2 linked regions of the Lonchura striata genome follow. The protein of the gene in region 1 binds, or shares a complex with, the protein of each later gene. Links are inferred from orthologs where the notes say so. Each region holds a gene or a part of one and is shown on either strand. Other genes may lie near its edges. The genes, in order: CFAP36 and ARL3.

The links.
Region 2: the proteins of CFAP36 (region 1) and ARL3 are in contact, whole or in part, in a crystal structure (PDB 4ZI3), measured with the Mus musculus proteins. The link is inferred for Lonchura striata from reciprocal best matches to the Homo sapiens genes CFAP36 and ARL3. Residues at the interface, in NP_080016.1 of Mus musculus: Glu44, Glu45, Ser46, Lys47, Leu48, Thr51, Glu52, Lys58, Val61, Glu62, Leu65, Glu76, Phe79, Gln80, Cys83, Thr84, Ala88, Lys89, Leu97, Val100, Leu101, Ala103, Glu104, Asp105, Phe106, Thr107, Ile108; in NP_062692.1 of Mus musculus: Leu3, Leu4, Ile6, Leu7, Arg8, Lys9, Leu10, Lys11, Ser12, Arg19, Lys35, Glu40, Pro47, Thr48, Gln49, Gly50, Phe51, Asn52, Ile53, Lys54, Trp66, Ile74, Tyr77, Ser80, Tyr81.

What each region holds. Positions count from the first base shown.
Region 1 is NC_134605.1:27,065,785-27,081,523, reverse strand, and holds the start of CFAP36 (cilia- and flagella-associated protein 36), read left to right. Parts: upstream 1-7,359; 5' UTR 7,360-7,410; coding exon 7,411-7,525; intron 7,526-11,041; coding exon 11,042-11,106; intron 11,107-12,001; coding exon 12,002-12,103; intron 12,104-13,894; coding exon 13,895-14,009; intron 14,010-14,937; coding exon 14,938-15,025; intron 15,026-15,658; coding exon 15,659-15,710; intron 15,711-15,739. UniProt on the Homo sapiens protein: May act as an effector for ARL3.
Region 2 is NC_134609.1:20,180,198-20,195,854, forward strand, and holds the start of ARL3 (ADP-ribosylation factor-like protein 3), read right to left. Parts: upstream 6,696-15,657; 5' UTR 6,601-6,695; coding exon 6,598-6,600; intron 1-6,597. Other genes in the region: SFXN2 (sideroflexin-2), read left to right, coding at 8,067-8,227, 8,529-8,699, 9,581-9,679, 9,831-9,906, 9,984-10,069, 10,721-10,781, 10,853-10,919, 11,465-11,514 and 3 more. UniProt on the Homo sapiens protein: Small GTP-binding protein which cycles between an inactive GDP-bound and an active GTP-bound form, and the rate of cycling is regulated by guanine nucleotide exchange factors (GEF) and GTPase-activating proteins (GAP).

The sequences.
Region 1 (15,739 bases):
GAAGGATATCTCGAAGCTGGGGCTGCAGCTGCAGAAGGTAGATCCAGCGGAGGAAGGGACACAGAGGGGTGTGCAGAGGATGCTGTAGAATCATGTTGTGGTGCTGCAGGCAGACTGGTTGGAGGGTGGGGGGAGGTTGGAGGCTGCGGTCGTGGAGGAGCTGCTGGTGGCTGTAGGGCTGGGGTTTCCAGGAGCTGCGAAGGAGGCAATGTCGGGGGGACTATTTGTGATGAGGCTGTAAGAAGACCTGGGTGGGCTGGCTGTGCAGATGGATACGGTGGCAGAGCCGGCAAGCCTGGAAGTGGTGTTCTCAGCGGTGGTGGCGGCGGGGCTTCTTCGGCCAGAACTGGAGGCTTTGGCACTGCTGTGGGGGGATGCGGGGACGTCGGCTGGGCGTAGACCGTGGCATGGGGCACGTGGGAAGCAGGGGGCTGCATCAGAGGCGCAGTGGGGGTGGCTTGGAGCGGGTGGTCGGGGAGTAACGCGAACTGCACAAGCATGGGGCGCGTCACAAGGTCCACCTGGTGAGCCATGATGGTGGCCGCATCTACCGAGTGGCTGGAGGGCTCAGGTTCGGGGGCCGGGGTCGGGGCCAGGCAGCCAGAGGGCTCTTGCACAGGGGCTGGTGTTGGGGCCGGGTGGCCAGAGGGCTGCCGCGTGTTCACAGGTGCGGGAGGTATCAGGGGCACGTTACGGAGCCCTGCGGCATCTCCCTGTGTTGGGGGTGGTTGGGCTGGGGTGGCAGCGCAGGGCCTCCAGCCAGACGCTGCTGCGGCGCTGGGACCGGGGGTATGGTCGCGTGGTTCCGCGGCGCGGGTGACGCTGCTTCCCGGGCCTCAGGGATACCTGCGGGAGACGGCGGCGGCAGCGAGATGGCTGCGGCAAGCGCCGGTTCTATTGCTTGTAAAAAACGCGGCCACGTGGTTTTGTAACAGGCCAGCAAAGGTGGTGAACGCTGCTGCCAAAGATGCCACTGAGGGGACGGGCGCGGCCAAGGGACCCATGGCGGAGGAGGGGGTGGGGCGGCTGCAAGGGCCACAGGGGCTGCGGGGGGACACAGGGGTCATCAGAAACCACGCGAACCAGCAAAGCGGCTGCCGCCGGCTTCCGTGAAGCAAACAAATTGGCTACAGTCCGAAAAGCCGGGAGCAAATCACAAGCATCGGGATCCCCGCGTGAAATATCAATAAAAAGTCTATTTCCAACTGAGTCCCAAAATTCTCTGGTAAAGACAGCTGACCGGTCAGCATTGGGGAAATTAAGCAGAATCCACTCCAGGAGGTTTTTTTAACTCTTTCTTAGACAAAGTACTGTTACGGCTACGTAAGACATGGTTAAGTTGCTTATAGAGATCTGTATCAGGGGCAGAGTGGGATTGTTGTAGAATTGTGTGTGCACTGTATATCCCCTCATAATGGTTTGTCCCTCCATATCCCCTCTTTGTACCTGTTTGGTTCATCCCAGCTTTCCCATCAGTACCTGTATGTCCATCAAACCCCAACCCATCCCCGTCTCCTCCCAGGTGATGTGTCCATCACCTGGTGACCCTTCCCCTTTTTCCAGATCCTTCTCCCAGGGTCACCAGGTAACTGGATCCTGGCTGGAACTCCTCCCCAACCCCCTCCTCAGTGGTCACTCTGAGGCCTTGCCCCCAGAGAGCCGCTCCCATGTCCTTCCCCCATTGCCTGCTCAGTTTTCCCCGCTCCCCTATATCTGGCTTCTCTGGGCCGGGAGACCCTCTCTCTTGCTCTGGATGTCCTTCGAAGCCAGATGTGGCCTGGGATCTCTCCAGGCCCTCATTAAACTTTGGAACTAATCCTGAGGGAGAGAGCCTCTTTCCTTTGCTTGTGCAACCAGCTCGTCTTTGGACTCACGTGGGAGCTTCTCCAAGCCCCCCGGGATCTGAGGAGAAGTTCCTTCCCTCTGCCCACCTCGCCCCACTGCCCAGCTGGCCAGGCTCCACAGGGCATCTGTTCCCGTGGATTCGAGAGGGAGACCTGTGTAGCTCACCTCAATGTCACAAAAGCAGGATCCTCTGTGGAGTTCCGACGTACTGTCCAGTCAGTGCTCAGGACTCTGTGGGAGGTCCTCCTCAAGATCTCCAGTATCAGGCGTCTCTCAGGGATGGCTTTTCCATGCTCGGGACCCCCAGACTCCCCCTCAGGGCTCCAGCGCGGGCAGTGCTAGGCAGTGCTCTCTGCGCTCTCTGCACGTGGCGGTGTGCCACAGGGCTCCTCACAGAGCTCCGGGTCTCTGCTGCTCTGCAGCGTTCCCTGTGCTCAAGGCGGAGAATCCTCCAAGAGCTCCGAAAACTCACTACTTGGTAACGAGTCATGGTGCTCGAGGATTGCCTCAGCAATTTTTTTAAGAGCTCCGGCAACGAAATGCCGTGCTCACGACACCGATGAGGGAGTACAACAGGTTATTTAGTTACCGTCCATGGAGAAGTCTCCCACAGGTAAAAAACCTGGAGAGGTTTCCAGAGATGTGTGGGTTCGTATTCCTCGCTGGGCGCCAGTCTGTAGGGTACACTGTGAGCAGGATGGTTTAGGTGAATGGAGACAAGAGATCTCTGAAGGCTGCTCTTGGGATATAAGGTTTATTAGGGATGCAGAAAGGTCCTGCTTCGAGCTGCCAGATGCAGCACGTGGTGAAGCTTAAGGAGATGGGGGAGGGGAGAGACAGGAGGATGCTCTAGGAAAGGGTGGAGGTCCTATGAGGGGGAAGATCCAAGAGAGGGTGTTGCCCCTCGGAGACCCCTTATCAGGGGGCTTCAAGGTGGGCTGGAACAAGACTTGGGCCAATGGGGTTACAGGCACTTGATGTTTTAGGGGAGGGTTACAGGTGTGGGGTGAGCCATACATTTTGGGGGGTGAGACGGAACAGTCCACTTGACCCCTGGACCCATCCATAGGCAAGGGCATTGTCTGGCTAGCAGAGAGGACTGTTCTCATCCTGGCTGTATTATTTATTAATAATTATATTTATCCATCCTTCCCAACATTTCTGTTTCAGCAGTAGAAAGCAGTTTCTGTGAGGCACTCCAGTGTATCGTTTTCCTTGGGATTTTTCTTTGTCTTTTATAATCAACAATACAATGCAATTAGCCAACATTCTTGGGGGCAACTGAAACATGTGGGTAATAAAACTCAGAAATGCAAACTCCAGTCTTCCCCAGAGCCCCCAGAACCAGCACTTTGTCTTTAAATACCTTCTTGTAAGCCAAGCCCTGAGGTAACACTAAATGACTCAAACCAAACTCATGTCTTAAATAAATTCTCTCTTGCACTGTGCAGTCAAGGAAACTCCAAGGCTGGGCAGCCTTCAGACCTCTTCTAGTCCCACTGCACACATAGCCCCAGGTAACACTAATCAGTAATCCTAATATTGAGGAGTCCTTTTTAAGAGAAGTTCTACAAAGAAATTAAAAATGCACAATTCTCACAGTGGTAAAAACTGAAGAGAAAGAGAAATGTGTTTGTGTGTAGGAGTCTTTCTACATAGCTTTCATAACTCTTGGCTGAAGGTGTTAGAAGATGGACTTATGTAGAAAGTCTCCTAAGCTCAGAAATAAAGATCTTTCCCCAAAATCAATACACAACTGAAGGTTATATTTTTTCTTTTTTACCTATTATTATCATGGATTTGTGGCAACCATGTTCCCTGACCTTTCTCGCACACTTATTCCACAATGAATAAAATGCCCATGCATCTGGCAGTTTATTATTTTACTATTTCTAACGATCTCATACCCTTATTGATACCATTTCATCCTCCACACATGCCATCTTTCTGGTTCATTGAAACTCTCCACTTCCAAAGAAAGGTCACAGGGCTTTTTCTTTTTCCTTTTTTAACCTGCTCATGGCTGCAGAACTCCATGCCAGAAGAGATTAGAATAACAAAACTCACTGGCTTCAGATCAAACCACAGGCTTCACCTTGCCGTAGTTCATCTTCCATCAATAACAATCAGCTGAAATTGGACAGAAAAATCTAAACTGTTACCAGACTTTTTGGAATTCAAGAGGTGTAGACACCACAGAAAAAGCAATGGTAAAAGCACTGCAGCAATTACTAGAACACCAGGTCAATGTGTGCGGAGAAAATCCCTATGAAAAGTGTACATGGGAATTAATCCTATTGTTGCTAAATAGACAACAAAATTTGCTTCAGGAAAATATATTAAATTAGGTGTATCAATAGACTTTCGGATAAACGTGTGAGTAAAATGTGCATGATTTGTGGAAAGTATAAAAATGAAAAAAAATCTAAAAAATAGAAGAAATAATATTCTTGTAGTTTTAGCGTCTTTTTTTCACAAGCTATAAAGAGAATGTATTAGATGTTGGACACTTGAGATACTTTTAAGATTAGATAATTTAGCTAAGAAGCATTATTGTAGAAAAGGCAATGGCATATGCTTATTATTGGATAATTATATTACGAATGGCCTCTCAGGCAGAATGGATCCTGTGATTACAGCCTTACATTTGTATAAAACCTTCAAGTCACAAGAGAAAAGAACAATTTTATAAAATGAAAGAAAATGACCTAAATAGGAAGATCTTTAGAAGTTCCAGCAGTGTGGTAGATAGGGACAGGTGAATGGAAGATTTTGGGATGTAACAGAAAGCAAGACCCTTCCCCCCTCATCCTGTGATATGTAATCCATCACCCCTGAGACAGGTAACCCCTCCTAACCCAGTAGTTTTCCACCCCTTATTAACCCTAGAGACCCTACCTTCTTCCTTTGACGTAGCAAAGCCCCCTTGACTATTTAACCTCACGAGATAAGGTAATAAAGGCCATTTGACCATCCACCACATTGGTGTCTGTGTATGTCTGTGGCCTGAGTGGCCCGGGCGAGGCCGGGCTGCCGTGCTGTCCCTTGAAACCAGGTCTTCTGCCTTCTCAGCAGAAGGCAACAAGCAGGAGCTCAATATCCCAGAGAGGAGGAAAACGAAGATAACTCACAATACCTTACTTGACTTTAGGCATTTCTTCAATGTGTCTGCATTGCTCAGAACCAATTTCTCTCCTAGTTTAGCTTTAACTAAAGTGCAGTGAAGTCCCTTAAGTATAACATAAGCTTTAACTAAAGTGCAGTGAAGTCCCTTAAGTATAACATACTTAATAAAAAATCTCCACAATAAATTGTTGCCAATGAGCATGAAGTGATTAGTGTTTTAATTTTCAACCTTTTATACAGAAATCACATTTAATTCTGTCTACTGGACTGAAAGAAAAGGTCTTTGCACCATAGGTTTTCAGAAGCTTGAGCTCGGTGTTCTCTTTGAGGTCAGATTTATTAAAAAAATCCCTCCAAAACTAAAATTTATAAAAAAAAATTTGGAAAAGTTGCATTAAGTTTACTAAGGTAAAAATATTTATAGCTGTTGCAGTATTAAGACTATTACAAACTAGGTGGATGGGAGAATTAAAGCCTAAACAAAAGAGTAAATAAAAATAATACTGTTTAACTGTTAATCTGATAATTGCACTTTTGCCAGTATCCTTTAAATTTCTCAAAAGCTACAAATTTATCCACATTGAAGAAATTAGAAGTGATGTAAAAACCACCTCTGCCATTAGCTAAGAAGTTTATCTGCCTCCCACTTTATTTATAAATAGATAAATAAATTTATAAATTCAGCAACAGATCAAAAATGGCTTTCTGCAAAAAGAAGTCAGTCTCAAGATTCTGGAATTTCAAACTTTATTATTGTGCTTGTGAGTGGAACCCACTGGATGTGAAGAGAGTTGGATACTGACATAAAGAATTCAGTGGAACATATATATATATATATTTGTATGTACGTCAAAATGTCTGAAGTAGCAACTTGCTCAGAGCAGACAGAAAATCAAGCAATAAATGCTTTTTGTGACTCAGCTAAGGGAGCATTTCCTGCTCCATCTTTTGTATTGTTAACAACTAAACCACCAACTCCAGTGTTTTGCCTGACATCTATGGACAGAACATGATCATATCAGGCAGTTTCCTGTGCGGTGATAAAACGGATTTGATTGCAGAGGACAGAATTTCCTCATACTCATTGCTGCAGCAATTTTTCTTGTAACTGTAATGAAATGCTTTAACTTTTTATGCAACAAATAGGAAGTGAATATCCTGCCATATTGCTGATGCTCTCCGACCACAAAACCAGCTACAGAAATGGAAGCGCTGATGGTGAAAAAAAGTGGCCTGCAAAAGGAAAATCTGAAGTTTTTCCAGTGCAGATTCTTATTTAAATGATGATCAGGTACTTCTCTGCAGTTCTGAGAGCATAGGATTGTTACCTTTGAGAAAAAACAGTGAGAAAATAAATAAGACTTTACCCAGCACTGAAACTTTGTGTAGGTAAAATCTCATTAATGACTACAAGAGCTCTTGAACAAGACCAAGCCTGATCCTGATGCAATGAACTAGAACTGCCACTGTTTGTGCTCATTAAAATATTTCAAAAAGGATGAAGAGGTTCTTTTTGGGTTTGTTGGGGTTTTTGGGGTTTGTTTTTTGGGTTTTTGTTTTGTTTTTTTTTTTTACTTACCAGTGACATGTACCAGTAAGACAAGCAATCATCCAGTATTAGAACATACATTTAAACTTTGAGAAAAACTTTTCAGTGTGTCAGCAGTGTAAAAGATGAGGACAGTGAGAGAAATTACCTTAATTTTAGTGGAGAAAAGGAATATACCACAATCACCAGCCCTAAGAAATACCCAAATGATTAAGTGTTAATTAATCCTTCTTACCCATCGCCTTGTAAATTATTTCCTAATTCTAAACTGTACGGTTTTTTCAAGATTACTAAACTACAAGTTGTCCGTGTTCTTATGAAGGCCTGATGAGCTATTAACATGAGAATTAGAGCACCACCTTCAACAACTGACATGGAACACGTTATTGTTTTCTCCACAATGTCACTGCTTTCTGCACATAATAAAATAGGCGATAACAGGAATTTTCCATTATCTGGGATATTTTTAAAATAAAATTCAAATATGCAAGCCCAACCTGGACTGTACTGTGAAAGTGCGAGTGAGAGGCGCTAGAACACCTGGGGATCTCCGGGAGGCGCAGGGCCAGTGCAAGGCGGCTTCTCAGGGCCGTGCCCCTCATATCCCGGCTATCCCCAGGCAGAGGGAAGCCTGCCTGAGCCGCCTGTTCCCGTATTCCCTCAACACTGGCGACTAACAACCACCGTAAAGTACTCGTTTCTTTCCTTTCCATTGCTGTACAGCACCCGCGAGTCGGGCGGCCGCTGCCAGCCCCGCTCCCGTTGCCGCCCTCCCCACTCCCCGCCCGCCGCAGCCGCCGGCCGCGCTTCCCGGGAATGCCGTGAGGGCGGCTCCCGGCCCCAGGACCCACCCCGTGACGCCGGTTGCCATAGTGGCCGCGCCGCTGGCCATGGCGGCCGAGGAGGAGGACGACGTGGAGTGGGTAGTGGACACCATCGCCGGGTTCCTGCGGGGGCCCGCCTGGTCCATCCCCATCCTGGAGTTCATGGAGCACAACTGCGAGGGTGAGGAGGGTGAGGGGGGCGGGCGGGGCCGGGCCCGGGCGCGGGGCGGCCCTGGGCGCCGGGGCGGGCGGGAGCGCCCTTGCCCGCCCGGCCGCGCCCCCGCCGGGCTCCCGGCGCCCGCCGCGTCCCCCGGGCCGGCCAGCCGTGTGTCGGAGGCGCCGTTCGCATCCATTAGCTCGCCCTCGGATTATGGCGTGAGCTCACGGCTGACGCCGAGCGGGCGCCGTACCTGCGGCGCCTCGGACCCCGGCACGGCCTCCAAAGCTCTCCCAGAGCCGGGAGCTGTCCTTAGGAAATTGGTCTGGACAACCGAGAGCGCCATCCGGTCAGTGCAACAGAGGAAGAGAAGGCTCAAAGTTAAATTCCTGCAATTATGCGAACGTTGTCAATTAAGAGGTGAAAATCCCTCAATTTTAGGAGCTCGCAAAAATGATAGTCAAAACTGTCAGTGATCACCGGCAACGTTTTGTAGGTGATCCTGTGGGTGAGTTTAGCTTGGAAGTAACTCCAGTTCAGACCTCCATTTCTTCCTTTGTCTTCTTGAGATAACCAAGGCATAATCTGGGGAGCAGCCTGGGTAAAGTGGAAGTACAGGCAGTGAGGGGGGGCCAGGATTGCCCTGTGGCCAGGGGAGGCCTGTGCAGGTTTGTATCTGCAGAGGGGGAAGGAGGAAGTAGACTCTCTGATGCAGAGATTTGGCTAAATTACTTCGGTTTACAGAACAACTTCTGCTGCCAAAAAACACCTGGATCCTTACAGTAGCAAAGTAATGACAATTTGGGCAGGTCTGAAAGCAGTGCCTAAGCCCTTTGGAAAAACAAAGGCAGCTTTTGTTTGTGATTTTTGGAAAAAAATCACCTTTCAGTTTCTCCCTGAATCGTTTCTACACCCCGCCCCCCCCCCCGCCCCCCCCAAACTCTGCACGAGGCACGACTGTAATGAGTCCATATGCCTTTCCCTCTTAAAACTGGGAAAAGAGAAAGGGAGAGCTCCTGGAGCCTTCACGGCGAGGACGGGCTAGAGAAACCTAGACTGGAAGCTTTGTCCTGGGAAGTCTGCCAAAACTTAGGGTGGGCCTAACATTCTGGTTGTCTTGCAAAGGTTTAGCTATCGAGGGAATTGATTTATCCCTCTCAGGAGCAATGATCCCTTCTCCTTAGAAGGTTGAGCGGAATTTACTGACAGTAAGAAGATTTGTAGAACCGCTGTAAATTTCCACCTAGTGTGAGGCAGGCTCGTAATGGTCACTTCCTGCTGGGCTGATTCCAGTGCTGGTTTTGTACTGACATACTTTGTCAGGACAGAGTCCTTTGCATTCCCAAAACATTTGATTTTGGGTTGGACTAGCAAATTAGGAGCACTCTGATTAACTGACAATAATTTGTGACTCCTCAAAAATACAGTTCAGGTTTTGGTAGTCAGTATGTGAGGAATTCATTTTACAACTGTAGTTACTTCGGCCAAGTCCTTGCACTTCAACTTCTAAACTTATTGTAATGGTTTTCTATCTGTTAGCAAGTGTTTGCTTCTCTCCCTCCCTCTTTCTGGGAACTTGATTAATTTCTTATTGCTTGGTTAACTTGCTTTTACGTCAAACTGAAATTAAATAGATGGGTGTGTATCATTCCATCTGAGGGGTCCTAGCCAAGATCTTCAGTTTTAACAAGAAGATAATGAGTGTCTCCCGGGACTTCTATGTCCCCTGGCTTGTCTTCATACTGTGGTTCTTAAGATTTTTATTCCTGGTGGGCGACCAAAGGCTGTGCCAAAACCTTAAGGAATAATGACTACGTGATTCAGAAGCCCTGACTCAAGAAAATCCAAGGTCTCTGTTCCAAGTAGTCCTTAAAGCCACTTAGCTGAGAGGAGATGCTGACTGCAGCTGGCTTTACTTGGCACTGAACTTGATCCCGTTGTGTCCTGAGCCCGGGGACAGAGTGTGCCAGCTTCGCACTCTGCTCTGCAGGAGGAACATCGCCTTGGCAGTGCCAGGCCAGCTGTCACCAAGGGGTGACATCCCTGTGCTTGGGATCCCCAGGGCAGGAAGGGTGGGGGAAAAAGGGACAGAGAAGCCAAGGTGAAAGCTGGGGTCTGCAATAGCTGGTAGCAATCCCCAGCCAGGAGGAGACAACAGAGGCTGTCAAGTGTCTTCACTTGTCAAGTTTAGTAATATGGTGGTTGCATAGAACTGATATCTATAATACCTTCCCTATAATTTGAATTTAATCCTAGATACGTGTAAGCCTTTTATTTTAATTTCTTCATTAAAAATTTTGCCTTGTGCAAAACCCCCAAGCAATGTTGGTTTTCCAAAGTATGATTAAAAACCAGATTTTCCTCTGCTTTTGGGGGACCTGAAATGTGTCATTGGATTTCTGTTATTGCACTTCTGTGTTAGAAAGTGATGCTGCTTTAGGAAGTGCCACCTCAGCTCACACTGTGTCCAGGTCTGGAGTGATGTGGCCTCAGGGCTGTCCCAACTGGGAAAGATGTTGGATGCCTTCAAAAAAAAGTCACTCTGAATTTGTGTGAAGGTTGCACTGGTTCCACGGCATCACCACCATCAGAGATGTCACATGTACATGAAGAATAAATCACACTCGTTCACCAATTTAAGCAGAATTCCCATTCTTCAAATGACTTCAAAGAATGTTCCTGGCAAGTGACTTGTCCAAGTGGCTAATCTTGAAGGGGATTGAGGCAGACTTATTTCTAAGCCTTTGCTTTAATTGCCAGGTTTTACTTTACCTCTCTTAGTTGTTGGCATGAAAAAAATGTACATTACCACCACCCCCCCACCCCTTAGTTTTCAGTTCCTCTCATTCTCAGCTTCTTCCAGATATTCTGCAGCATAGAGATCATGAGCTTGAGTAGTTCCAGTTACGGATTTTGATGTGAATTTACATTAATATGATTAATATGGACTTTAGTATCGGAATGTCCATTTTTCATAAATTACATTGATTTAACTAAAATATCACTTAACTGCACCACATTTTCTCTTTGGGTTTATCTGGTTTTGCAGGCAGGGACTCATTTCCCTGTATCACCTTGGTTTCTCACTACATGAATGACATTTAAAAGATGGTTCATGTCATTAATAAATATCTCTTCCATGTAAATACATGGAGAGTAAGAAATTTCCTGTCTGATCTGCCCTCCAGATCTGTCATCTGCCACCAAAGAACAACCTTACACAGAATCATAGGGGGTAGTTCTTATATTAAAACTTACCTTTTAGTGAATGTATCTGCTGAATCCTCAACTTGCTTACAAGTCTGTTATGAAGATACATTTTCCCAGTATTAAATTATGCAGCTTAATTGCTTTCAGTTATCAAAAGCACACACTTAGCCTGAGTTTGTGGAAAAACAGAGGACTTTGATAAATCATGGCCTATATTTTCATTGATTAAATATATTACCCTCTAAAGGTTAATCTTGCTGTTTAGGGTGTAAGTTAATTTGTGGTGGTTTGTACACTGACTGCAAAATGTTACTTCTTCCCCTTCCTCAGTTTTTGATGATGAAGAAGAAAGCAAGTTGTCTTACACAGAAATTTATCAGGAGTACCAAGCTCTGGTGAGCATTATTCACTGTCTGTGGTAAATTTCTAAGCAAAAGAATTTAAAATGTTATTTAACTGAGTATTTATATGAACTTCTAATTGGGTTATTATTGTTATTTAGTATTTTTCCAGATGTTATTCAGAAATCCTGTGAGTTGTAGTTGTCATGTGCATTTATATACCTAAAGACTAGGTACATAGAAAAGAAACTGTGACACACTCATAGCTCTTAGGCTGTTTTATATATTCATCATTAAAATTAATATATCCACAACCTTCAAGATTGTATTTACAAGCTTGATAATGTTATTTTCTATCAAATGAAAATGACAACCAGCAGGATGTCTGAAAACACTCACAACTTGTATTTTGTTCACCGATGAGTCTGGGAAATCTTTCGAATTATCTTTCAATTATCAGAAAAAATGACAGGAAAGTTTTGAAGCTTAAATACCTATCAAATAATACTTGCAGATTTCTAACACTTTCTGTAATGAGGCTGGGAAATACATGATACTAAAAAGCTTTGATTGAAGAAATACAAACCAACATTCATTTCTGCTCTGACCCTTAAGGCTTTCAGGCATAGACTGGCAAAAAGCCTTTTATTTTCATGAAAAAACCATGAGAAATAATAGCCAGGAATCTGGGGAAAAGGTACACGAGTGAGAGTCCTGGAAATTGGAGAAGATATGTTAAGGAATCATCAAATTTAGCAATAAAAATGCTCATTTTGAACAGTGCATGAAAGCAAATAAAGCTTGAAATCAGAAAAGTCAGTTATGCTATTTAGTGATTTTCCTTTGAGTTTATAAACCACATCAGCAGAAAAGAATAGACAATCATGACAAAAATTCCTCTGATTCTCAGGGAAAAACCTTAGAAGCTAAGGCTTATACTTTCTTACAGGTGGAGAGATTACTAGAGGACTACCTTAAAGAAGTTGGAATTAATGAGGAGAAATTTCAAGAAGCTTTTTCTTCTCCTCTTGCAAAGACCCACACCTCCCAGGTATTTGCTTTCATTAAGGAATATATGGATTTCATTCTCAGCTTGATGTTTTCCCTAACACAGCTGGCAGGAGATGAAACTTGGAAAAGTTTTAATGGTGAAATTGTTGTTTTCAATTGAACTACAGCTGTTTGCTTACACTGGTGTCATGGTTTGACACTGGCACAATGCCAGTGCCCCCATGAAAATGCAATCTCTCAAATAAATGCTGTGAAATGGAATTCAGAACAGAGCAAAGCAGGCCCAAGCTTAATAACAGGGAAAAAAAAACTTTATTAAGCTACTACTATAAAAGAAATAAAGGAAGGAAAAAGAAAAAAAACACACACAAAATTCAAAATTAAAACCTTGCAAAGCATTCCTCCTCCCACCACCCAACTCCAACAAACCACAGCAAGACACAATCTGGACCCCAATCAGGTTTCCACTCTCCAGACAATCAATACTCAGTCCATTGAGGGAGAGAGGAGCCTCTCCTGTGCCACAGACCCCCCAAGAAATACAGCTGCCACATCCTGTGCTTCCCTGTCACACATGGCACCACCCAGAGAAAAAGTTTGCCATGGTGACCCTTCGCCTTTCCATGCACAGTGCTCTCACCACCAATGCATGGATGGACAGACTGCTTTTAGGATTTTCCTTTCAAGGATGCCCTGCCAAGAGGGGAAAAAACAACAGTTCAGGTTTTTCCATTTTTTGGGACCACAGTACCCCCCCATTTTCCCCCTGGGGCCGAGGGTCCAAGAACAGAGATCTTCTTCTCTTCTTCTTTGAGGACAGGGGGCACCACCACAAACCTCCCTAACTTTTCTCTGTTTGCTCCACTTCTGTCTTCTCCCAGCTGAAGGAGGTCTCTTGGCTCACCGACATCCTCCTAAAATACAGTCTCTCTTGGAGGAGAAGATTGATTCAGTCGGTGGCTACCAAGGAAAAAGTCCAGCCAAAAGCCACTCCTTGTCCCCCTCTTATCTAAAATTTCTCCTTCTAACATCCCAGGGTCCAAGGTGTCTCTCTTCCTCTCTTTTCAAACCAAGGAGGGGGAAAAAAATTTCACAAAGCTTTCATTTCTAAAGGAAGGGTTAAAAGTCCCGACTCCCTGTCTGGCTCTCTGCCCAGGATCTGGCTCCCACAGCAGTGGCTGGGCACCTTGCGGCCCCTCCCCGCTCGCTCTTCTCCTTCCCCGCGGTGAAATTGCTGACAAGCCACCACTGCCAAGAGACTCTTGGGGCGGGGGGCAACAGAGACATCCCAGATTTTTTCTCCACCCTTCCATCTGCAGGGGGTTCCAGTCCCTCTACCCTTGGGCCCACCTCAGTCAGGCCATGGGCCTTCCCCTCCCCACCCAGCCACGGCCGGGCAGGGGAGAGGCTGCACTGCACGCTGACCAGAACCAAAGAGAGCGAGTTCCCCTGGGAATTCTGCTTTCAACCCCTCTGTGTTCTCAGAGGCGTGTCCACCTCCAATTGGTCAATATCCAAATTGACCTCTTCCTTCCAAGAAAAATGATTTTTCCATGTCAAACCACGACAACTGGGAAACCCAATTTTGTCATAATATTATAATATTGTCATAATGTTATTGCAGACATGTTGATCTAAAGATGTAACCCACCAAGTTATTTTCTTGACCATGAGCTCTTCTTGTATATCTGGAAAAACAGACAGATAGAATGAAATATAATTATTAAAAACATGCTCCCCAGAATTGAAAAATCCAGCTAATTTCAAACAGACTGAGCTGGTTAGGATTTCTGTGGGGGGTTTAATTTTGTGCATATCTTTCCTCCCACAGGCCATTCTGCAAACAGTGTTGGCAGCAGAAGATTTTAGACTGTTTAAAAAAATGATGGTACAGAAAAATATTGAAATGCAACTGCAAGCGATTCGAATCATCAAAGAAAGAAATGGTGAGAAGTGATGAATGTGGGGATTCTCTGAAGGTTTTTAGTGTTCTTTTGATGACTCTTTAAGCCATTCATAAATGAGTGTGGAATGCTGGTTCTGCTCCAGTTCAGGTTACAGGAAAACACCCTATTGATGATACTGGGACAGAGATTTCATTACTTAGTCCTTGGCTTGCACTCTTGGTGACAGCTGTCTGTACTGTAAAGTTAACAGATATTTCAGGTCTGTTTGTCTGAATTTCTTTGTGAAACTTGACTGAGTTTTCTGTTGCAGAATTTTAATGACATTTCTGAGCTAAGGCAGCTAGGGCAGTTCCTCAAAAGGAGCAATATCAATAGCTGTAATTCTGCTCCCTGCATGGCAAGGATGTTGTAGTGTCTGCTTACTGTGCAATTCACACTGAAAAATCCATTCAGGAAGTACAAGTTAAGGCCTTCATCATGCTCATACATGCATGAAAAAGAAGATGAAGAGAAAATAATCCACACCAAACTTCACTGCTCTGTTGATGCTTCTGAAAGGGTTTTAATCTCACTCCTTCCTTCTGTGTCTTTCATTGTACTTACTTCTTACTGTATGAGTGTTTGTCAGAGAATAATTTTTAAATTTCACCTTTCATATAACAGCTAGATTTGAGAGTGGTTCAGGTGGCCATTGCTGAATTGCAGCCTACAGGAAATGCCACATAATGGTCAATACAGAATTTGGCTTAACCTTTGAGGTCAAAACTTTCATTGCCAGAAATCTTTAACTTTTCTTAACAGGATTTAGGACATTTTCCTCTAGGATCTTTTTGGAAACAGTTTACATGGCTTTGGCTTTGTGAGTGTGATTTTCTTTTGTTTGGGTTTTTTTTAAATTTTCTTCTCTGCCAACTGGAGCACAAAATAATTTTCCTTAGAATAATGAATAAATCTTGTTTTTTTCCAGGTATATTGCCTGAGTGTTTGACAGAGGGTTCTGATGTATTCAGTGAAATTGAACAGGAAGAAATGAAAATACTCAGGGAGGTTCTAAGGTAAGAAATCAATCAGTCCAACTTTGTATATTATTTTAAAATACAGGTCTATAGGACCTGACTCTTCCAGCCTTTTCCAGGGAACCGCCATCATCTTAGAGATAACAGGAACATTCTTGTCAATATCCAGCCTGAGGGAATATGAGTGGTGCTGGGCAGTGGCTGTGCTCAGGAATATTGAAATAGTGAGTGAGAACTCTTGCTGTGATCTGAGATGCTTGAGACCAGTACAACTTCTGCAGATTCTCCCCCACTCCCAGTTCACAGACACAAAATAATAGGAGATGAGTCCATCCAGGTTATATTTGATAAAGCTATTTTCCCTCTGGATTCTGGGAATACTTCCCTTCCTGTCTTCAAATTAGCAAATTAAATAAAGGGGTAGGTAAGTCCTGGAAATTCTTACACAATTATTTCAGCACAAAGGTAGTTGAGGACAGTGGGCACTTGTGTGTTTATCCCAGTATTTATTTCTATTAAGACTTAAGTCATGGAAACATTTTAGATACTGACAAATTCACATTACCTTGTAATTGCTTTGATACTCCTCAAATATTTAAGCAGTGTTAAACTTCCCTGAAAATCACTACCACTAAATGAGTTTTGAGTATTTACTCATGTTTATTGTTTCAGAAAATCTAAGGAAGAGTATGAAATAGAGCAAGAGAGAAAGAGGACTGAAGAAGTGAGTATCTTACCTTTGTATATGAGTTA
Region 2 (15,657 bases), on another chromosome or scaffold:
AATGGGAAGATCTGGTACAAAGAGGATGCACAGAAGCAACAGAGGAGGAGCAGATTTTTGAAGCAGGGCAGGTAAGAAATGTCTCGTGCTGGGACTTAGCCAGTCGCGAGAAGGGAGGATTCCCAGGATGCCTGCATAGCAGCCAGGCCTGTGGCACTTGCTCACTGGAGTGTCCAGGGTGAGAACAGGACACATCTTGAGCAGGCCACGGTAGATGTGAGCTAGCTGAGGAGCTGCAGAGATGCCTCACAGGAGTGTAAGGGCAGCGTGTCAGCTGCACAAAACTAAGCAGACTGCGGCATCTGCAATAGGGAAGGGAACTGCAGATGCTGCTCAGATAATGAACAGCACAGCATGGCAGCGTGTACAGCCTTTGGAGAAGGGCAGCCAGACAGAGCAACTCAAGGCTGGGCACAGTCAGTCAGCATTCACTTCTTGGTCACCTCTGGGTTAAGCAAACTATGTCTTATATCAGATTGGCTTGTTTAAAAACATCTTTGTCCTTGGTGGAGAGGGTTTTCTTTACAAGCACTGTGAGGAGACAGACTGATGGGGTCAGCAATGAGGAGACTGTATTTTCCAGACAGCGAGCAGGAACATACAATAAAGAAAAAGAGACTCCTGACAATTACTATGAAATCAGAGTGGGGCATTAAATTCGAAGATGCAACTAAATGGGTAAGAGCACTCATAAACACATTGAGCATGAAAGCAAAGCTAACCATCTTATTAGCATCCTTCAGAAAACAGGGATGCGTGGTTTTATGAAAGTATATCATTGCTAGGTTTAAAATACCCACCAAATTATCAAAGGACTTTCAATTATAGCTGCATGCAGTAATCCTATTCTCTCTCAAAAAAAAAAAATCCTACATATATAAAAATACTGTGACATTTATAGTCCTAGCTAAGGGTTTTGTGGGTTTATTCATTCAGTATATGGGTCTCTTGAACTAGTTGATGTATGTAACTATATCCTGCACCACAGAAGCCACTGAAAGGAAGATTCACTTTACCGGCCAAAGCAAAAATTGGTTTGGGACAAACAGAGCATTGAGATAATCTGTTTAAATATTGTATCAGATTGGCAGTATAAAACCATAATAGAAAGAACAATTCTCCCTTGTACTGAGGGTTGGATACACGGGGCATGGATAAAAAGCGTGGCCCACAAGCTGCTGCAAAGCACGGTTGATTCTTAATAGGAAAGAGAAGTAAATGTATTCTGTTTAACTTTATCAGCCACAAGGCTCAGATAATGAATTTAAAATAAAGCCACCCTCAGTCACCACCAATTGCTTATCTACTAGATGTGGACATTTAGATAGAATCAATGCACTTCACCAAGATGTAACAGAGCCACAAAGCTCAGCAGCTCAGCCTGCCATTACAACCACATCTTTCCCATCTCTACACCTCTGCAGAGATGCCCTCTTCCCCACTACTGCAACCACAAATCACTTAATCCTCAAGACTCATCTCAGCCAAGCACATTTGCCATTGAGATGACAATTCCTGTCTCCCTACAGCTCCCCAGCACTGCTGAGCTCTATTCACAAACTTCTGTGACTCTCCTACAACTGTGGGAGAAACTTCACAAAATATCCATAAAACCAGCCCATGATTCTTCTGCTAATTCCTTCTCTGCCACACCTACAATCCTTGGTGAGGTTTAGGCAGCAAACATGTCAAGTTCAAACCTGTCTTGGATTCTACTTATTCATATCAGTTGGTTATCTCTCACCCCAGACAGACCATATTTCCATGGCATGGGAGCACCTCCGTGCTCTGCCGGCACAGCACCTAGCACAGCTCTGGGCACCAATTTATTTACTTTCTATTAAGCAATATGGTAGCGGTTCACCATTTTCAAAGTGTAAGTTAGAGGGTACACGTGATTTCAGAAAGTCACGCAGGAGAAGCTGACACAGGGAAGGACGAGGGGCTTAGCTGAGCCAAATATCTTGCCTTGCACAGGGGATATATGAGGCTACATTTGTCATCCAGGGTGCAATCCTGCACAGACAGAGCTGGAGGAGGGGAGTCCTTCCTGACAACTGCACTGATTAGCTGGTGTCCTGAAGAATGACGTCTGATTACCTTTATCTTCGGCTGCAGAACTGCAAATGTCACTAATGGTCATAAAATCATCCAGTCTTTTTCAAAATACAACCGAAGTAAATTAATCTATTGAGCACAGTTTATTCAATACTTCTTACTCTGGCAAAACTCCCAAAAAATCATTTGCTTACTGCATGTCACCACCATATGGTGTCATTCAATGCAGACTTTCTTTCCTGCATTGAAATCCAAAATTTAACGGAGTCGAGTCACCTACAGAGTTTTTCCAGCTCAAACTACTAATGTAGTTTTCTGTTAAAGAGGTCACACAGCACTTCCCAGTTTGATGCATAAACCAATACCAGCATGAATCCTCTTTTCATAATTAAAATCAAACTCCCCCGGTTTCAGCAGGTTTGAAAGAAGTATTTTACCCTGTGCAGAGAAGAGCCAATGCCTAGCACTGGACAATGTCAGCAGTCTCTGTCTAGTATCAGAACTTCAAAGCCTTGGCCAGTGACTGGTGTAATTTCCTATCTGCAGGTGATTTCTCATATCATCCTCTCAGCAATCAGTAAAATAAACCAAAAAACATGACATTGAACTGTACTGAAAACTGAAGTAGTGAGACACTTATAATCCTTGAAAGCATTTTTAATAGGGCCATTTTAAATAGAGCCTTACTGACAAGGAACAAGGGATAAAATAAAGAATTTCTAAGTATAAGGTATGCCTAGAGCAGGCAAGATATAGATGCAGGTTTACCTAGAAACATGAGCTCAAGACCAGGAGAAAGATGCCTGACTATGCATTTAGCTATGCTGGTATTTTATCCTTTTCACCAGATGTGCCTTATGTCAGCTAGGCACTCTGTAACTCAGTTTCCTCAACTATAAAACAGGGCCACACTTTGACAAATCTGGTTTTGACACAGTGATGTCATCTTCCATCAATGGTTTTAGAAAAACACTAGCCATCTTCTGGCCCCAGCATCTATCAAGAACATACCATGTGTCTTGGTAAAAATTGGTATTGCAGTGACAATAGAAAGCATTACTGTGATGAGGAAGCCACAAGCTCTGCTTTTCACAGTATTGCCTAAACTTTGGAAAGCAGCATATCCTTTCATGTAGCAGCCTCCCTTCGTCCTTGCCATGCACCCACTGCAGATGCTGCTTAATGGAGCCAAAGACTATCAGCACTACACATCTCTCCTGCTTTGCAGTTTTATGGCTCATCCTTCCCTCCGTGCTCCAACTACAACCTTCCACCACCCCTGCCCCATGGCTGTGAGAAATCCTAGTATGCTCTGCAGAAGAAGACACTGCCCCTCTGTACTTACTCACTTGGATGAACACTGAAATAATTTAAACCTCAGCATTAACCCTCTTATCACTGGAGCTGGAGCAAGCAGACATCGAGGGGAGTTTTAAGCGCTTCCCAGTGCAGTCAGGACATGGTAGGAACGTGCTCATGGGCAGCTACCATGGCTCAGACGACAAGCAGTAAATTGTTACATCAAGCTGTCTGGATGATTTCTGACTGCTGACCCATACCCCCAGGCTGCCATAGCTGCTTTGAATGTATTTGCTGCTGTTTTGGAGTTTCTACCACAAATGATTGTTCTGTTTTAGTGAAAGATGAGAATCTAGAGAGATAGTGCATTGCTCTCCAGTCCTCTATCCAGTCCAGCCAGCCCACCAGGCACCCCAAAGTGCCACCCACCCTAGAGTCTGAGTGGTTATAATTCAAAAAACAACTCCAAGAAATGGAAAATAGAAAAAGAGGCAGTAAAATGTTGTATCAAATAACACGAACACTGGTGAACACCCAGTCACCCTCTCTGCACACAAAGTGCCTGGATAAGAGCAGCCAGATCCCAGACTACACCAGCTTATCAGGACATCATAAGGCAGAAGAGTAGATCTGGCAGCTGCAAGCCAAATGTGTCTCACAAAACACTGCACTGCTGGAGGCAGCTGCCTCATCTTTATAGCAGATGCCCATCCTGTGATGACTTTGGTGCCTGGTGTGACATGCCCCATCACCAACTCATCTAAAATAGAGCAGATCCCACAGGCTTTATCTCAATCTTCTTCTCTGTGACCCAGCAGGTAGGGATGCAGCCAGAATTAACCCAGTGAAGATGAGAAGCTGCCTTTGGTGCTCTTGCTTACACCTCCTCCCATGCATGAATCCCGCTACTTGCATGAATCCAACTTATGTCCAGAGGGCTCCTGGACAAAATAAAGCTTTGCCCTTGGGAAATATCCTTCCCTATTGCTATTGCCTTCTGCTTGTGCTCGCTCTTCATGCAGCATCCTCATGAGTGGCTCCACATCCACAGCAGCTCTCTCTCACCACCCCTCACCCATAGTTCCAACCCCTCCTTCTAGTCCTCGCTGCACTTTGCCAGCATCCCACTTGTTCCACCCCAACTACTTTGGCATCTAAACCCAAATTGTTTCCAACACCTGGATGACCCTGGTCTATCTTCCAACCTTCCTCCAACCTCAATTTAGACTGCACTACACCCTCACCACCTCACCTGTCTCCCAGCATTGCCCTCCACCCAAGACACACAGTTTTTTCCTTCATTCCATGCTACTACCTCTCAAACAATTTATTTCTATCACCCAACACTTCTTTTCTCCCTGGGATCTTTCTTTCTTTCATCAACATCAAAACTCCACTTCCAATCTTTCCTACAGTTTATTCTTATTTCTTCTTTTGAACCTAGACTGTCCCTCATCTTGCCAGCCCATGGCAGAAAACCCAGAGCACACAACATCCCAGCAAACTATCCTAGCCAGCCAAACATTGACTGTTTTTTTCCCACTGACTCACCAGACGGTCCATCCCATCCAACTGGCAGTTTTCTTTCAGCCTCTGAGCACTTTGTCCTGGCCATCTCTGAACACCTAACCCCTTCATCCAGTCTCTCTCTGCCATGATTGAACTCCCTTTCTCAGGCTGTGTATTAAAAACCATCCCTTCCACCTCAGCAAGCTGTCCTCTAGCTCCCTCAATTTCTACAGCCAGGATTCAAGTCCCACGGTGGCCTCCTCCCATCTTGGCTGGGCTGTCCAGTGTCCCTTTAGAGTCACAGCTGCTCCCAGACTTTTCACAGACAATCTCTGAGCGCTGCCTTCCATAATTGCCAAGGTCTTCCATTGCTCCTTCCCTCTTCAGGACACTGCCATCCTGGTCCCCAGCCCTCCCAAGCACCCACCTCTGCATCACACCTTCTACACCTTGACTGAATCAGCTCCAGGCATGCTGATTCCATCCCAACAAAGAGCCCCCATAGCATCTTCCCGGCCTCTGTCTAGACCTGATTCACAAAATCACAAAATCAATTAGATTGTAAAACACCTCTGAGATCACCAAGTCCAACCTATGACTGAACACTTACATGTCAACTAGAGCATGGCACCAAGTGCCATGTACAACCTTTCCAATCTCCCTAAACCCTTCCAGGGATGGTGATTGAACCACCTCCCTGGCCAGTGCTTTACAATGTTCAATCACCCTTTCTGTGAAGAAATTCATCCTAATGTCCAGTCTGAATCTCCCCAGCACAGCTCGAGGCTATTTTCCCCTGTCCTGTCACTTGGGTCACTTCTACATGGGAGAAGAGGCCAATCCTCACCTGTCTATGACCTCCCTTTGGGTAGCTGAAGAGGGATAAGGTCACCCCTGGGTTTCCTCCTCTTCACACTACACAATCCCAGCTCCTTCAGCCACTCCTCACAGGACTTGTGCTCCAGGCCCTTCACCAGTTCTGTTGCCTTTTTTCGGACTCAACCCCCTTTTTTATGTTCCCCATAACATCTGTGTGTTGCCAGGGCCCCAACCCCAGCCAGGGTCTTCCCCAAACTTGCACTGTTCTCATCCCTTTCTACGGGTGCCTGCACCCGCACAGCCCCAGGCCCCCATGCCTGGCTGGATGCCCCAGGTGGGCACTCGGACCCCGGGCCAGCCAGGGTCCCTGGGTGGGTGTCACAGGATGGGTCAGGCTGCAAGGGACCACAGTCGGTCATCTGCTCCAACGTCCCACTCAGGCGTGGTCATCCTTTAACACGTGGCACAGGATCGCGTCCAGATGGTTCTGGGATATCTCCAGTGAGGGAGACTCCACAAACTCTCTGTGCAATCTGTTCCAATGTGTGGTCACCCGCACAGCAAAGTTCTTTCTTGTATTCAGGTGGAATTTCCTGTGCATCAGTTTCTGTCCGTTACCTCTTACCCCAGTGCCCGACAGCACCAAGTAGAGCCTGGCTCGGCCGCCCTGGTTCCATCGCCTTGGCACCCCCTCTCACGGCCCAAGGCCTGCCCGTGCCTGCCACGAGCCCGGCCGGGCCCGACAGACCCTGCAGCCCCCATCACCCCACGCTCCGCGGGGGGATCATCCACGGCCTCAGGCACCCCCGGCCGCGCTGGCCCCGGCCCTCACCTCAGCTCAGCCCAGCCCAGCCCGGCCCGGCCCAGCCCAGCCCGGCCCGGCCCGGCCCCGCCGGCCCCCGCCCCGCTCACCATCCTCGGCGCGGCCCGGGGTTACCATGGGCAACTGCGTCACACCCACCGCGCGCCGACGTGCCCGCGCCGGGGGCGGGGCCAGCGCCGGGCCACGCCCCCTAACGGCGCGTGCGTACGAGGCCGGCCCTGCCGGGAGAGGTGGGCGCGGCCGCTCGGAGCTCTGTGATTGGCTGAGGGCGGCCACGCGGCGGAGCGCGGGGGCGGGAGGCGGGAGCGGGGCCTGGGAGCGCAGGTGGGGACACGTGGGGGCGCGGCGGGCCGGGCTGGGGCGGGGGCGTGCCGTGCCGAGCCGTGCCGTGCCGTGCCGAGCCGTGCCGGGCCGTGCCGTGCCGGGCCGGGCCGTGCCGTGCCGAGCCGTGCCGGGCCGTGCCGTGCCGAGCCGTGCCGTGCCGGGCCGACATAAGCCGTGACCCAGCCGCGCTGGAGGAGTGCCGGGGCTGTGCCATACCGGGCCGAGTCTGGGGTGTGCCGAGCTTTGCTGTGCCTTACAGAGAAGGGCAAGGAAATTGGCGAAGGGTCTGGAGCTCAAGTCTTAGGAGTGGCTGAGGGAGCTGGGAGCGTTTAACCTGGAGAAGAGGCTCACGGAGACCTTATCGCTGTCTACAGCTACCTTTTAAATGAGGTTGTAGCTAGGTGGGAATGGGCCCCTTCTCCCAGGCAACCAGCGACAGGAGAGAGGATACAGTCTGAAGCTGTGCCAGGAGAGGTTCAGGCTGGACATTAGTAAGAATTCCTTTACAGAAGCGTGATTAGATACTGAAAAGGACAGCCGAAGGAGATGGTGAAGTCACAGTCCCTGGAGGTGTTTAAGGAAAGACTGAACATGGCACTTGGCTAGGGTTAGGCTAGGTTAGCCATGCTGTAGTTGACATGGTGATGTTTGGTCATAGGCTGGGCCCAGATGATCTCAGAAGTATTTCCCTGCCTAATTCATTCTGTGATTCTGTGCTGTGCAACTGTGGGCATGTGGCGCAGCACCCCGGGGAGCATGCAGGGCAGTGCCATGGCAGTGCAGAGCAGCATTAGAGGGATGTGCAGGATGGTGCTGTGGCAGGCACAGCACAGTGTGAGGTGCTGTGCATACTCGGGGGCTGCAGAGTAGTGCCCCTGTAGGAGTGCCTGCAAGGCAGCCTTGTGGAGGGTTGAGCTGGTCCCTACAGTGCTGTACAGCACCATATCACCCCAAGGAGGGGGTGCGAGGTGCTATGGGGTGCAGCACAAATGGGGTGACCCCAGGCAAGCAGGATGATGTGTGAAGGAGTGGCCTGACTGCAGTGTTCTGCTGACAGCAGGAGTGCAGGGGCCTCCTGGCTCAGGGCTGCTGAAAGTCCAGTTGTCCTGTTAAACATAAACCTGCCATGGCTCTCATCCAGCTGCTCCTGTGGCTGTGGCAGGTGTGCACTCAATGAGCAAGCAAGAAAGGATCCTACTGAGCGGCCTTTTTCCCTGCCCAGACCTACGCCAAGATGGCCACAGTTTCTCTTAGCTTCAACATTGACTCCCCACGCTGGGACCAGAGCACCTTTGTGGGCCGCCTGAAGCACTTCCTCAACATCACCGACCCTCGGACAGTGCTGGTGCCAGAGGAGGAGCTGGACCAGGCCAAGGCCCTGGTGGAGGGCTGCAGGTGAGAGGCAGGGATACAGATGGGGGAGGTGCTGTCCCTGTGCTCATGGCCATGCCAACCACTGTGCAGTGTTGCAGGGGGATGGAGTCATTCTCAAGCAGGTGTGCAGTGATGTAACATCTGTTGGAGGTAGTTTTGGGGGCGTTTCCCAGGCTTCTCCCAGGAGCTTCAAGCTGTGACATGCATCCTTCTCTGGAGATGTTTCCTCTGCCTTTCATGTGGTGCCCAGAGCTCTGTGCCTCAGCAGTGCTGGGTGCTGGCAGGTCTGTGCAACTTCCCCTGATGAGCTTTGGGTTTGCAGGGCTGGGTTGGTGCCACCAGGAAGCAGCCAGGAGCAGCTGCTCTATGCCAAGAAGCTGTACGACTCAGCCTTCCACCCTGACAGCGGTGAGAAGATGAACCTCATTGGGAGGATGTCCTTCCAGGTGCCAGGGGGCATGGCCATCACTGGCTGCATGCTCCAGTTCTATCGGTGAGCTCCTGGGGACAGCCCTGACAGCCCCTAGCCCCTCTCGAGGTCCCTGATGGCCAGAGCAGAGCCAGCCTGCCTCTATGGGGCTGGGTGCTGCCTAAGGCATGCCCATGGCTGCTGTGTTTGCCTGTGTCCCATGGTCAAGCCCAATGTCTCTGGGATCTGTCCTCAGCACCCAGCCTGTGGTAGAAGCATCACAGATTCCTCTGGCCCATGGCATGGCTGGGTATGGTCTCACCTCACCCTGAGCTCAGCTGACATCTTCCCATAGCCCCTGTAATGATTAATGCAACCAAATCCTGCTTGGCTGCTGCGCTTGGTCTGTGGCCCATAGCAGTCTTTGAAACTGAGGAACAAATGTGCCCCTAGGCCAGGCTGCTTCAGCATCCCCAGCCCCTGCTGACAGCTCCCTGCATTTCCCTTCTCTACTCCCCTGCATTCCAAAGCGTGCTCCCTGTGTCCCTTCCTGCCCCACGTCAGTGTCCCTGAGACACCAACAGAAACCCAGGCACCCTCATTCCCCAGAGCCACTTCTGTCCCTGTGTGTCTGCGCCTTGCTGCTTGCTTTGACAAAGGCTTATCTCAGCCCAGCAGAGGATGGCTGCCACCCTGCTGAGAGCTGTCTCCCACCCCTGCCCAAGTGCCTTGCAGGACTGGGCCCTCCTCTTCCTATGGTCCCCAGGGTAACCAGAACTCCTGGGATCATTTCCCAGCTCTGCCACTAGCTTGTCACTTTGCCACAGTTCCTCAGTTTCCCTTTGGAGACATCATGATGAGTGGATTGCAGGCATCCTGGCTGTCTCCCTGCCAAGCCTGGCCACAGGCACAGGCCAGGTGTCCCTGACAGCCCTCAGGTGCTCTCCCATCCCTTCCCTCCACAGGACAGTGCCTGCCGTGGTTTTCTGGCAGTGGGTGAACCAGTCTTTCAATGCCTTTGTCAACTACACCAACCGCAACGCTGCCTCCCCCATCTCTCTGAGGTGAGCAGCCCAACAGGGTGGAGTGTGTCCATTTGATGCACCCCTGGATGCCCTATAAAGACCCTCTGTGCTGTGTCTTGGGCACAGAAGGAACAGGGCTGAGTCCGAGTTGGTGATTCTGTTATCTCTCTTCTTTGAAATTGCTGTCCAGGCAAATTGGGGTGGCTTATGTCACGGCCACTGGTGCAGCCCTGGCCACTGCAGTGGGACTCAACCTCTACACCAAGGTATGCCAGGCTAGGGCCAGGTGGGGCAGCTGGGCACATCCTGCTCTCCCGTGCTGATGCCAACCTGTTTCTCACAGCGAGCCCCACCCTTGCTGGCCCGCTGGGTCCCCTTTGCAGCTGTGGCTGCTGCCAATTGTGTCAATATCCCCATGATGCGGCAACAGTAAGTGTCACATGTGGCTGGGGGGCTTGAGGGACCCAGCTCCCTCCAAAGGCAAACTGGTGGCAGCCAAGCTCCTGGGCTGCCTGCCCTCCCTGCCTTGGATTCCCCTCTTGAGAGCTGGAGAGAGATGAACTGGGGTCTGTGCATTTGCAGTGCTGTATCTGTGGTGCAGGGTGCTGGGTGGGATGGTTCAGCCTCCACCCAGGAGGGGGATTTTCGGCTGAGGATAGCTGCTCTGGAATCCGTGCTGGAAGATCTCTCAAACCCAAAGATCTCCTGCATGTCATGGGAGAACCCCAGTCCATTATATCTTGATGCTGGGACACCCCAGTTGGGGTCTTTGTTGTGACCTGTGCCTGCTGCTTGGTTATCACAGCACAAGGAGCTCAGGTACTGCGTGAGGGACTGTGCCCTGGCTCAGCTGTGTCTGTCCCTAGCATGGCCAGATCCTGCTCGCAGCTGTGCCCTGAAGATGGCAGCATCGGCTGGGCTGGGGACCGTGGTGCCCCGGGGTGCTGGAGCCCCGTGCCCTGGGGGCATCCGGGGCTACTGTGTAAAAAGGACTCCCCTGGCACCCCCTCACCCCGTTACTGTGTCCCTATGCTTTCCCGGCCATCCTGTCCCCCACTCACGGCTGCCTGTCCCCTTCAGGGAGATCATCAACGGGATCACAGTGACAGATGAGAACAACAATGAGCTCGGCTGCTCCAGGGTGAGTCTGAGGATGGGGATTTGGGCTGGGGCACGGCGCTGCCGGGGCTCACCTGCTGATTTTGCTTGCAGAGGGCAGCAGTGAAGGGCATTGCGCAGGTTGTGCTCTCCAGGATCACCATGGCAGCACCAGGCATGAGTGAGTGTGGGACAGGAGGGTGCACAGCTGAACTGGGGATTTTCCAGGACCCGCCACCTTGCCTGCCCCTGCTTCAGTTTCCCTCATGAAAAAGAGGGAGGGTGGCCCTGCGTCCCAGATGGCATTTTCTCTCCTCATCCGGCCATTCCCATCAGAGGTCCCCAAGCCCCCAGCCCCCTCCATGCCAAACCACAGCCTGGGAGACAGGGAGTGCTCCTATGGCAGTTTGGCCCCACAAGGATGCATCTCATGCTCTCTGGCCCTAGCCCCTCACCCTGCAGCCCAGCACCCCCTCTGCTCCTGAGACCCTTGACAAGCCCAGAAGGACGGACAGGAACATGAGGAACACAGACCATGCTGCCCGAGTGATGGATGTGTGGGGGTCTTGTGTTAGGTCCTTGCTGTCAGCAAACACCCAGTTGCCCCCAGCATAACTAGCTGCTTCCACGGCCTCCAGGTGGATGGTCCTGCTGGGACAGCCCTGCAGGCTGGCTAGCAGGATAGCTGTTCTGGGATCTGGGCTGACCTTTGCTCTCTGTGCCTAGTTATTTTGCCTATCATCATGGAGCGGCTGGAGAAATTCACCTTCATGCAGGTGAGTGCATGTTTCCCCTGCCAGTGGGTTCTGTGGTGCTCCGGCCCAGCTTCCCTGCTGCTGATATGCTGGGGATCAAATGGGGATTTGCAGAGCCCGGCTTGCTCTGCTCCCTACTTTAGTCATTGATACAACCAATGGCCTCTCAAGTGACGTGGGAGGCTATGAGAGGGTGGCAGGGTTTGGTGCACACCAGAGGTGTTGGGCATTCAGCCCTACTGAGGGGAGAAGTCTGCTCACCCTGTGAGTGGGTCTTGTAGCGAGGCCAGGGACTCAGTCCTGGCTCTTCTCTTGCAGCGGATCCGGGTTCTCCATGGACCTTTGCAGGTGCTGCTCTGTGGGGGCTTGTAAGTATCTCACTGCTCAATCACCTGTGAGTGCCTGGAGTATGGCTCCAACGAAATGCTTGAAAAAATACTTTCCCAGAAGAAATTGCAAAGCTGCTTACCTTTCAGCTTGGACTTTGCCCAATTATTGGGAGTCATGGGGTGTGAACAGCACTTCTTGGGCTGAAATCCCTGTGGCTGAAGGGCAAACAGGCTGGGATCCCCAGGACTAATGCTCTGCTCTTCTCTGTCCCACAGCCTCCTGTTCATGGTGCCAGCAGCCTGTGCCCTCTTCCCCCAGCGATGGTACCTCTTCCACTGTTTCCCCCTCCTGCATGGGATCTCAGGAGCCTCCTTCCTTCCCTAGTTCCTCTCTGCCCATCCCAGGAGAAGTGTGATGGGCACCCACCCTTTAACCCAAGGCAGTGCCTGCCTGCACACACTGGTGCCCAGGGCAGCAGGAAAGCATGTGCCTCCCCTGCTCTGTGAGCTCTGTGCTGGGAGCAACAGGACATCCAGCTCCATGGGCAGCTCTCTGCTTTCCAGCACTGGGAGGGAAGGGTGATGGGTCTTTCCATGAGCCTGCAAGATCCCAGGGTCTGCAGAGGCCTCAGATGGCAATGGGAAGGGAGGATGGTTTGACTGCTGGTTGAGGAGAAGGATCATGGCTCTCAGTGTGTATCTCCCTCTCCACAGCTCCCTTGCACTGGCTGACCTTGAGGTGGAGCTGCGTGACAGTATCATGGCCAAGCACGGGGACAAAGTGCCGTATGTCTATTTTAACAAAGGACTGTGAATGAAGACTACCTCAGGAGCCATCACTCCCCTCTGGCCTCCTGCCACCACCATTCCCACGTCCCCTGAGCACGGTCAGAGGCACAGTCCAGCCCAGATCTGTGCCCCCACCCAGAACCTTCTCTGCAGCCTTTTTCCACTGTAGAATCAGGATCTGACTCTGTGTCCAGCTTGCAGCACTTTGGCTGATTCTGACCCATGCCCATCTGCTGCTGGCCATGTCTCAGCCTTTGCATGTCCCTCTTGCCCTGAGGGATGCCTGTGCTTCCTGTGCCTTCCTTTGGCCCAGCCTGTCTTGGCCTCACTGGGTTTGGCCCCATGAGGTTCTCTCCCTTGTGGCTCAGAGCAGTTCTACCTCCAAATGCAGATATCCTGCCATTGTACCAGCAACCAAACCACATTCCTGCCTTAAACCACCACTCTTCCCAAGAGACAGATCATGTCTTGGCAGGTGTAAAAGGACCTTTTCTCTCTGCACCATGAGAGTGACCATTCCAAAATCCAGAGACCAATGCTTGGACTATGCATTCCTTGCTCTCAGGTTCAGGTTCTATTGACTCTGTGTTTGCCACAAGCCAGGAAAGAAATAGCTAATTGTTTTTAGCTCTAATTTTTTCATTCCGCTGAGCACTGTCACCCTTGTCCTGCATCTCTGGTCCCCACAGCAGAACCATGAAACTGCAGCTTTAGGGGACGATTGTCTCTGTGCCCTCTTTGACATGGGGAAGAAGACAGAAATCACAGAATTGTTAGGGTTGGAAGGACCTCTGGAGGTCATCTATTCCAGCCCCCCTGCTGAGGCAGGGTCATTGGAGCAGGTTACACAGGAATGCATCCAGGCGAGTTTTGAGTATTTCCCGAGAGGGAGACTCCACAACCTGCCTGGGCAGCCTGTTCCAGTGCTTTGCTATCCTCAATGTGTAAAGAATTTCTTCCTCATGTTGAGGTGGAACTTCTTGTGGTTTAGTTTATGGCCATTGTTCCTTGTCCTGTTGCTGGGCACCACTTGAAAGGGCCTGGGACCATCCTCTTGGCACCTGCCTTTGAGACATTTATATGCATAGATGAGATCCCTCTCAGTCTTCTCTTTTCCAGACTGAACAGACCTGGCTCTCACAGTCTCTCCTCATAAGAGATGCTCCAAATCCTTCATCATCTTTGTGGCCCTCCACTGAACACTGTCCAGTAGCTCCTCTCTTTCTTGTCACAGTGCTGTCAAGGCATTCACTCAGGCTCTGAATTCACTCAGTGCTGATGCACTGCAAACAGCAGAGGAAGGTTGAAAAATAAATGCGGTAATTTTTAAAAACCAGCTGTGGGTTGTGCTTCTGGCTGATCTCTGTTTCTGGTTCTCTGGGCTGGGTTGGTTTGTGCGTCTCACGCTTGCCTTGGAAGGGAAAAGTGTGGACTTTGTGACTGACCAAGCATCAGGGTGAGGGTAACCAAAGGAGCCAGGAAAAGGAGGAAGAGTGTGAGGGATGGCATGAGCTCTGAAACCCTTGGGCCTTCAATGGCAGCCTTCCCGAAGGGGTTCTTGGGGATGCAAAGTGCTATGTCAAGTGACAAAGGTGGTTGTGCTGTACTCACAGTGACAGTCATCCTCTTCTGGGTCCTGGGAGGATAACACTGGGTGACCCTTCCTACACCCATGGGTGCTGTTTATCTTCATGGCCAGGCAGAGTTTCATGAGGCTATCTTAGATCTGCCATGAGGCCTCTCCCACCCCAAAGGAGAGCAGCTTGAGTGTGCTGCAGCCTAGTTTTGGGGGAGAAAGGACCCCAGGTCCTGGACTAAAGCCTCTGCTTTCAATCAGCTGCATCCAGGCTCTCTGTAGGCTGATGAACATCCCTTGGTGGGACATGTGTGTTCTAACAAAGCCTTATGATGTTGCTGCTCCAAGAGTCCCATGGCCCAGTGGATGATCCTTGCTCCTCCCTCCAGTTAGGGATACATGTCAGATCTCTGGGGCAGCAGCATTCTCACATCAGCCACGTGCCTGAGTACAGACACCTTACCCATTCTGCTCCCTCAGAGAGAGCAGCCAAACCCAAAAAGTACTTCTTGAAGTGCCAAGCTGTATCCACAGCAGGTTTGCTTCTGCCAGAGGTGCAACATGCAAAGATAATGTCTCCAACCACATGTAGCTACTGCTAGAAAGCTGTAAAAGACCTCTAAAATAATTAATAGCAGAGCAGAAAGTAGGAAAACATGTTCAAACTTGTATATCTGTTCCCTGGGCATTATTAGATCTCTTGTTAAAGCACAATTAAAGTAATAGATAAGCTCATGAAATGAAACAGATGTCACTCCTGCTGGGAGTGGAGAGGAGCCACAAGGAGACTGCCCTCTGCTTTTCTTAAGCTCCTTAGCTCACACTGCTCTTGTCCTACACCCAAAACAGCTGTGATGACTTTCAGAAAAGTACCTGTAGCGATCTTTTGGGTCTGAGGTGCCTCTGGCATGCTTGGGAGCATGGCGATGTTTGTAAAATGATGTGCTATAGCACCCAAAACCTGCCTTTTCCCTATTCTTGCTGTTCACCCTTCCTGCCTTGGCAGTTTGGAGGGGTCCTGGCAGGGCAGGGTGCTCCATGGGCAGTGATTCTGGGGCAGCCAAACTTGGGACCGTGGCAGCAAAGCTCAGCTGTTTAGCCACTCCTTTTTTCCTGTCCCTATCCATACTAGAGGGACAATGGAGCACAGAGACCCCCTGAAATGCTATTGCCATCTCACATCAGCTCTTTTCCTGCCCTGGGGAGTGGGACATGGTGCAGTTTATTGCTTATGGACAGAGTAAGAGGTTTGCTCTGGGCTTGTAGAATTGGCAAGCCGTGCTCAAGACAGAGCTTCCCTCCCACCTCCCTGAGCTTATAGCAGTGGATTCCCTCTTCAGATCAACATGGATTTATGCCAGCTGACAGTTCAGCTCAGCAGGGTTTCTAGGTTTCTAGGTTGTAGCTGGAATCTCCCCCCGAGGATTCAAGTAATCTCAACAGCTCACATCACTCTGGACATGGTCATTG